Caenorhabditis elegans: one gene and its partner. The protein of the gene in region 2 interacts with the protein of the main gene of each other region in a pairwise test. Each region holds a gene or a part of one and is shown on either strand. Other genes may lie near its edges.

What was found.
Region 1: the proteins of dnj-11 (region 2) and Y17G9B.5 interact in a two-hybrid assay, tested with the Caenorhabditis elegans proteins (one large-scale study listed by BioGRID).

Annotation. Positions count from the first base shown.
Region 1 is NC_003282.8:4,748,367-4,752,192, reverse strand, and holds Y17G9B.5 (Evolutionarily conserved signaling intermediate in Toll pathway, mitochondrial), read right to left. Parts: upstream 1,954-3,826; 5' UTR 1,948-1,953; coding exon 1,794-1,947; intron 1,750-1,793; coding exon 1,522-1,749; intron 1,474-1,521; coding exon 975-1,473; intron 925-974; coding exon 753-924; 3' UTR 702-752; downstream 1-701. Other genes in the region: Y17G9B.4 (Peptidyl-prolyl cis-trans isomerase), read right to left, coding at 1-74; rpl-18A (Large ribosomal subunit protein eL20), read left to right, coding at 2,424-2,630, 2,679-3,014; cyc-2.1 (Cytochrome c 2.1), read left to right, coding at 3,752-3,826.
Region 2 is NC_003282.8:6,584,130-6,588,960, reverse strand, and holds dnj-11 (DnaJ homolog subfamily C member 2), read right to left. Parts: upstream 3,091-4,831; coding exon 3,007-3,090; intron 2,955-3,006; coding exon 2,678-2,954; intron 2,633-2,677; coding exon 2,097-2,632; intron 2,043-2,096; coding exon 1,905-2,042; intron 1,849-1,904; coding exon 1,486-1,848; intron 1,436-1,485; coding exon 1,064-1,435; 3' UTR 775-1,063; downstream 1-774. Other genes in the region: lec-11 (Galectin), read left to right, coding at 272-407, 476-726; F38A5.2 (TraB domain-containing protein), read left to right, coding at 3,561-3,656, 3,708-3,753, 3,825-4,052, 4,108-4,406, 4,462-4,587, 4,632-4,769, 4,815-4,831.

The DNA of each region.
Region 1 (3,826 bases), 1.8 Mb from region 2:
TTACGAGCATCACGTGGAAGACTTCGATGCACTGCCGAAAGCATATGAAGATTTGAGATGATCTCGTCGTTCATGTTGAGGGTAGAAAGTTGTCCAAACTCAAAAAACGAATCAATTCGATAAAATCCAAAGAAACGACTGTATTCGTGACGAGACCTGCGCGAACTTTTTTCGGTTGCGCCTTTAAAGAGACCGTCCCAAAATAAATCACTATTTATTTTATCTTATTTTCATATTCTCAATGCAATAGCAATTCGTAGTAAAAAAATGCAATAGCAATTCGTAGTAAAAAAAAACGTAGTAAAATACAAAATCGCTGTATTCATGCGTAAAATTAGATAAAAATTGGTTTTATTCATGAGTGCTTCAGTATTGTTATTTTATAAAACCGCGTTTAACATTTTCCTGTTTCTTGTAGTTTAAGATATCACAATTTCATGCAACATGTTCTTCTGATAGAACCACAAAACAAAACAATTTCGAATCTCGGATTACAGACAAATCTATCGCCGGATATATTTTTTATTTTGGCATTTTAGACAGACCTCGGCGCTCCCAGAGTTGCAGTTAGTTCTGTACTGCCAATCCTCAATAATCCATAATAATCCAAAAAAGTGAATGTTGTCTTATCACAACATTTGGGACTAGCGAGCGCAAAAAAAAAACACGCAGAACAAGGTCAGCTGTTAAGAGAATCGGCACAAACTGTTAATTATTTATTGTTTCTCAAATTCTAGTCAACACAATACATTTTATTTTCTTGAAATTATCGGGTTTCCTTCCAATCGAACTCGGAACCTCAGGTTCTCCATATTTGGGTTGGTTTTTTGTAGATTATCAATCCATCGAATCGCTGTTGCATTATCATCTTTATACATAGCACCCATTGCGAAAATCGTTTCGTGGTCTTGTTCGTGGATCGATCTGAAAATTAAAATTTTATATCAAATCTAAAATTTGAACTGTAAACCTACCTTTTAGCTTCTCCTCTTTGCTTCTGCCAGTCCGCGTACCAATTTGTATAATCTTCGTCCATATCTTCGTTTTTGAACTCGTTTAAAGGTTCCAGCTTCGTATTTCCAGTTAATGTGATAAATGGAATAACTCTGTCTTGTAGATAGACTTTTGCAGCATCCACGAAGACTTCATCACCTTTTCGCAATTCAGAAATTAATATCTGTTGCATTGGGCTCTGTGACGTGGCTAGCCATTTTTGTTGTGGATCTGATGAATCTGACAGTTTTAGAAGCGAAATAGAGGACGCAGCGTCTCGGCTCATCATTTTCAGCGCGATTCCGGCTAACTCGGAGGGTGATAGAGACTTCCCTTCCACGTGGCGCCTGTCCAGATATTTATTCGAATGTTTCAGCTTTGGCATCCAATAGAGCATACGCTTCACCTTTTTCGTTGCAAAATTCCACTCTCCGAATGCGTTGACCACGATATCATGGATCTCCTTATCCGGTTGAACACCTCAACTATTTTTGATAATTTATGAATAGTAAACGACTTTGTACTTACCATGCCACTCCATTTCATCTAGAACCTTCACTGCACAATTTTGTTGTTGAGGGTAATGCAGGAAAACTTTTTGGAAAACAGTTTGTGGGATCATCTTTCCTTTTGGAAAAACTTCAAGGAGTCCTTTATAAGTATCGATATCCTTATGAACCCCATATTCTTTGACATATTTTAGAGCTGTGTTGATAAATTCGACATGCGTTCGACCTCGTTTTTCCTTGAACGTGGCTGAAAACATAGATTAATCGTTGAAACTAGACAGATATCCAAACCTATCGCTGCCATGAATGCATCTTTATCTCTTTTCTCCGGTTCTATAGCTTCGAATTGCTTTTCAACATGTACTAAACTCGTCTCTTGATTCGCTGCAGCAAAGCATCGTATTTGATTGCTGATAACCCGTCGTGAAACATGTGCAAGAGCCATTAAAGTCTGAATATGTACAAATAAATTAATATTATAACTTTATAGTTAAAATAAAACATTTAAAATCACATTTCTATATCTTTTTAACAAAAAAATTGCTTAAAAATCTAAGGAGTAAGTGCGCTCCACCGCTCCCCGTAAATCGACGGCGAGTGTATGAAGGATACGGTAATAGAACACGCAACAAAACTAGCACTGCCGCATACACTTTTGTGCGTTGAAATTCATTTTGGGTTTTCCTGATCCTATTTTTTAGCTTTTTTCCGCTTTTCTTTTTCTGATTTTTACAAAAATTTAACAGTTTTTTCATAGTTTTTAAATATTGCAATATGCACTCATATTTTTTCGGTAATTCCCATCTACCTTTCCATTTTAAAAGAAAATTGTAACGTTATCCTAAAATTGTTTTTCGCTATTATATCAGATTGTTCATTCCCCATTCCTTGCATCATATTTTTGTTTTTCAGGGTTAAAACATGCCAACCAAGGCTCTTGGAGAGACTCTTAATGAGTACGTCGTCGTCGGACGCAAAATCCCAACAGAGAAGGAGCCAGTGACTCCAATCTGGAAGATGCAAATCTTCGCCACCAACCACGTCATCGCCAAGTCTCGTTTCTGGTACTTCGTCTCTATGCTCCGTCGTGTGAAGAAGGCCAACGGAGAGATCCTTTCGATCAAGCAGGTTTGTGGAAAATAATAATAATAACCCATTTTACAATAAAATTTTCAGGTGTTCGAGAAGAACCCAGGAACCGTCAAGAACTACGGAGTCTGGCTCAAGTACGATTCCCGTACCGGACACCACAACATGTACCGTGAGTACCGTGACACCACCGTTGCCGGAGCCGTCACCCAGTGCTACCGTGACATGGGAGCTCGTCATCGTGCCCAAGCTGACCGCATCCACATCCTCAAGGTCCAAACCGTCAAGGCCGAAGACACCAAGCGTGCCGGAATCAAGATGTTCCACGACGCCAAGATCAGATTCCCACTCCCACATCGCGTCACCAAGAGAAAGAACCTCAGCGTCTTCACAACCGCTCGCCAAAACACCCACTTCGCCTAAGTTGCGGATTATTGTTATTTGTTACAATAAATTGTTGCAAACAAATTTTTTTCTTAATTTTTCATTTTAAATTTGTGTGGTTTGAATCCTGTTTGTTCAGCTTGTTATTTGTTTACTGTTTTTATCTCGTGCGCAGCACTTGTTGATGTTATTAGATGATCATTGCAATGATCCATAAGGCATCGGACCGCCCAGCTGACTTGTGTGACTGGTAAATTTTGTCAATATTTTCAAATTTGTTCTTTTGCAATATAGATATCTGCTCTTCTATATTCAGTTCTTACGCTACTAGATCTGTAACTACATTCCTTAAAGTTCAATATCACTATTTCGATAAGGTAAATTAATTCTTAATAATTGAGATAAGTTGATAAAAATCTGGATAACTGTAGATTTTGTAAGTTGTAAGCGTTAGAAATGCGGTAAATCTCGTAGAAACTTTATTTTTTGTATTTTAAGGGCAAAACCTTTCAGATCATAGATAAAAAGTTCAACAGCGTCATTTTAGTATGTCCTCGCTGAATGATATTTCACCCAGACTCCCGAGAGCGACCGCCCGATTGTTCTATGGCCTTTCTGTGTCTCTGCGTCTCCTCGCCGCCCGAGAGATGGCACAACCCCCGTTTCTTTCTCGCTATTGCATCACGGGCGGTTCCCCAAGTGCTGCTGTGGCGGTTTCTTCCTGCTAGACTCTTTTAGTATATATTTCACTAATTTCTGTATTTTAAGGGTTCAACATGTCCGATATCCCAGCTGGAGATTACGAAAAGGGAAAGAAGGTGTACAAGCAGAGATGCTTGCAGTGCCACGTC
Region 2 (4,831 bases):
AATAAAACAAATTTAGAAGTTCTAAGTAGATTTTCTTTTTCGTAAATATTGTGAATACATATTACCTTTTTGCGTAAAAAAACAATTTTCAACCCAAAATCAAGATATCGGGTCCTGAAACTTCTCAGCTACCGTACCCACGAGTGTGAAAGACTTTATGTTAAAACCTAATTTCTCTAATTATTTGAGTTTAGAATATCAGATTATTGAACACAGATAGTTTTTTTTTATTCAAACAATATTCTCGTAAAAACAATCAATTTAATTCCAGATCCACGTGGACGGACATCACATCGGACATTATCATCATCATAAATGCCCAAAACGAATCGTTGCAATGACTGTTCGAGGAGATCTTCGAGTTGGAAAAATTCATTTCGAAAACTTCAAACATCATAACGGAGGAGGTTGGTTTTTATCTTAATATTCTGGGGATTTTTTTTTGTTTTTTGATTTCCAATCTTAATAATTCTAGGTACTGAAATCGGTGTAATGCAAATGCCTGTTGCTCCAACTCCGATCGTTGTTGCTCAACCACCGCCTCCAATGATTGTTCCCCAACCACAGATTGTTCCGGTTGTTCAGCAAATTATGCAACCAATGGTTCAACCCATATATCCAAGTGTTCAACCAATCGTGTATCCAACTGCTACTCCAATCATCTATACTCAACCTGAAGTTATCTACATGGACGGTTATCATCACCACCGTCACCATCACTATTGAAATTTGTACTTATTGTGAAAATGAATGAATAAATGAACATGACAAATTGATAGGGACGCACCGTTCATCTAATGTTCATAACTGAGACATGAATATTGAGCACTGCAGAAAAAGTTTGATGACAGAAACAAAAAAAAAAGTACATAGTACTACTGAATTTGAGTTGGTCAAGAGTCAAGAATGATTAAGGCTTTCAAGAATAAATGAATAAATGAAGAAAAAACAATATAACGAGCTAAAATGTGATGGGAACGGAAACAAGAGTTATGGAGGAGAAACAAGAAATAATATGAAGGGATGAGGAAGATTTAGAGAAGATATTACTTGGACTAGAAGATCATTTCTTATTTTTAACCATTTGAACGAGATACTTGAAACGACGAATGCAGGCTTTTTTGGACTTTGTGCCAACTTCTGTTGAGATCTTTTCCCACCGCTCGGGATCACTTGACTTATGCTTCTTGATAGCGTCCTCTAAAGTTTTCTGTTCGGTTGCTGACCAGACATCCTCATCTGGTAGCGCAGTTCCTAGCTGATTTTGAGTAGTTGATGGTAGCTTGACGTTCATCGTTTGAACAGCTTTGCATTGCTTGATAACCTGTTTTTCAGTTTTTGGTGGTAAACCCGTAGAATCCTTGCGATGCTCGTTAATGTAATCGGCAATTTGAACCCATCTCTCCACGGTTCCAGGTGGGAATGTGTTTGAAGCCTTTAAAAATATGAAAATTAATTAATGATTTCCAATCGTTTATGTCTTACCTTAACCAATAATTGAATCTCTTCACTAGTCCATGTCTCCTTGTCGGCTTGCTTTTCATTTTCTTTGTTCTTATCCTCAGTGATTGTGACCTTTGCTCCAGCAGCTTCTTTCTTCAGAATTTCAGCATCTGTTAGCGCAGTTTGAATTTCAGAAGCAATTGAAAGTGATTCGACCTTCTCGCACAGCTCTCTGAGTTGATCAACAGTGAACCCAATGCAAATCCGCTCAATTCTTTCCATTTCAGTGAGCTTATCGCGAGGATTCTCCGTCCAGTGGCCAGCTTCATCAGCGAGTTTCTTCAGACGCTTACGCTGCTGAGACATAGCTTTCTTGGCAATATCACGCTCTTTCTTTTCTCTCTCCTGAAAATAATAGTTAGTATTTAAAAATCGACAATATTCTGGTGTATTGTGCTCACTCTTTCTTCCTTTGCTTTTCTGTCAGCTTCCTCTTTCTGCTTAGCTTCGGCTTCTTCCTTTTCACGCTTCTCACGGTCGATAGCTTCTTGCTTTTCACGGATGGCTCTTTGCTTATCTTCCTTTGCTTTATCTTTTTTCTAAAATTTAAAATTGAAAATCCGGCAAAGTTTAGGCAAAGTTTATAGACTTACCGCTTGCTGTTCCTTCTTGAACTTGATAATTCTAGGATCCTTAGCATAAGCTATATCAACCAACTTTCTAATTCTCTTCGCCTCTTCTTTCCGCCGTCTTTCTCTTTCTGCCTTATTCTGTTTCTCCATCTCTCGTCTTTCGTACCGATCTTCTCCTCTTTCCTTGTCTTCTTCGTCCAAATACGAGAACTCGCGCCATGACTGGAAGTTAAACCAAAAATCGTAGAAATTCTCGACATCCTCCCGGGTCGCATCTGATTTACCAAGTTCTGGCACTGGCTTGATATTGGACCATCTGGAGTTTAATTGGAAAACTGGAGCAAGTTCGTTATAAAAGTTATTATGGTTGATTGATTTCTCATTTGGAATAATATCGTTGAATTTATGATCGACCGAATCGAAAGCTTGACGTTTGACGTCAGACATTCCAACTTGTTCATAAGCTTTTGTGATACAAGTAAAGTATTCTTCCTTCTCCATAACAATTCCACGATGCTTCTTCTTGTCCGGGTGATGCTTCAAAACCTTTTGACGATCTGAAATAATTCTCTTCAAAAAATTCTCACTTCATTTTAACTTACAACAGAAACGAATTTCGTCAGATGTAGCTTGCCATCTGAGCTTCGACAATCCTAAAACTTTGTAGTGATCCTGATTTTTGCAGTCATTTGGATCCAGCTTCATCAAGTACTTTTCATATTTTTCATTATCAGCATCAAAAAGATCTTTTCTCAATTCAGCTGGCTCTTCAGACGACTTTTTTCTTTGCTGTTCCGTAACAGGCTTTGCAACAGGAGAGTTTTTATAGATTGGAAGCGTACAGTGGCCCAGTGTGAGTTTATCTCGAATAAGGCGAGTCTGAAAATGTCAGTTAAGAAATATTTGCGGACATAGGTGATAGTAAACTCACTTCATAGCATATTCCGGCTGGCTCAAAAGCTCTGCTTCGAGCTGTGAATCCATAAATTGCAACTTGTAAATTGCCCGTAGTCATCTATAATTATTAAATTATTTTGAGCCTACTTTAGTCCTAAAACGAAATAAAAGAACATAATCAGCCTAGAAATTTCTGTTTTCTTTTTAAATCGCGTGACCACAGTTGTTCATAAAAGATTTTCAGCAACGAAAGAGAAGAAAAAGGGACATAATCTGAGAAATAAAGCTGAAAAACTACTGAAAATAATTGCGGGGGATTTACGAAAGAAGAAATCGTGCCATGGTTGCAAAATGTCGAGTGCGGCGCGGTTTTAACCGAGTCACAACATAAATTATGGAGACGGAGACACAATGCAAACGCGCTTCGCTGGTCTTTTTTGTTTTTTTTTCTTGTAACTTAAAATGGAAACCTGGAGTGATTTGGATTCATTTTAATTGTTTTTCAGCTTTGTAAGCTCCGCTTTGTACGCGATTGTATGAAATAAAACATGTTATAATTTCAAGTTATATCCAAAATAAGGTTTTCAGATGTCAGAGTCATCGTCAAACTTGAATCCAGATGGAACTGAGTTTCCAGACCCTAATGACGTGCCACCACCATCGGAAGATCAATTGACTGAAGAGGTATGCTGAAATATTACATTTGTAAAAATTATTAACAATCTCCATGTTCAGGATCTATTCCGGATGCGTTCTCTGACAATCAATTCGAAAAAAGGACGTAAGTTTTTTTTCATCGCTTGAAGTTGTTTGGAAAGATAATTATTTTTAAAATATTTAATATTTTTTTAGTTTCAGTTGTTGGTGGTGCAAGTGAGACAGCCGAGCAGTCCATCATATCACTCGCAGATTCGACTTCAAATTTTGATGAGCATGTTGGAGATGATGCCGAGTTGGATTATGAGCTGGAACAAGCTCCTGAAGCAACAGAAGATGGTGCAGTGGTGAACAATCCTGTTTGTGGAGGGTACCATTTCGGAAGGAAAAGAGCAGATGACTTCGTCCCAAATGCCAATACAGGTTTCTTAAAACTCCAGTTCGATGTAACACTGATATCTATATTCTATAATTACAGTAACAGTGCTCAAATGGCCTACAAATCTGGCGATTCCTCCACGCAACCCCGTGCTGAGCGATTCTGATGAAGAATGGAAGAAAGCGATTCTCGACTCCACCATTTATCTCATCGGTACAGCTCACTTTTCAAAAGAGTCGCAGGAAGACGTATCCAACACAATTCGTGCTGTGCAACCTGATTTTGTCATGCTTGAGCTGTGTCCATCACGAATTTCAATCATATCGATGGATGAGGCTCGGCTTTTGAGCGAAGCGAAAGATCTCAACTCTCAAAAAATTATTCAGACCATGAAACAAGTGAGTTCTCATATTTTTGTTGTTGTAATGTTGTAATATTTTCAACTTTTTTAAGAACGGCGCGATTCAAGGAATTCTGCACGTTCTTCTCCTGTCAATGTCAGCGCATGTAACACGTGAACTTTCCATGGCTCCCGGAGGAGAATTCCGTGCTGCTCATCGTGCAGCAGTTGCAACTGAGGTTTGAGTATTTAAAAAGTTTTATTTACAAAGTAACTATTTCAGAATTGTCGTGTAGTTCTCGGTGATCGTCCTATTCAAGTTACACTTCAACGTGCACTGGCTTCTCTCTCCATCTGGCAAAAAATTCGCTTCTTCTTCCACGTTGCATTTTCACATCGTGAGAAGATAACTGCAGAAGAGGTATTTAATTATTCAACCTTTTCCAAAAATATTCCAAAATTATAGGTGGAACGATGCAAGCA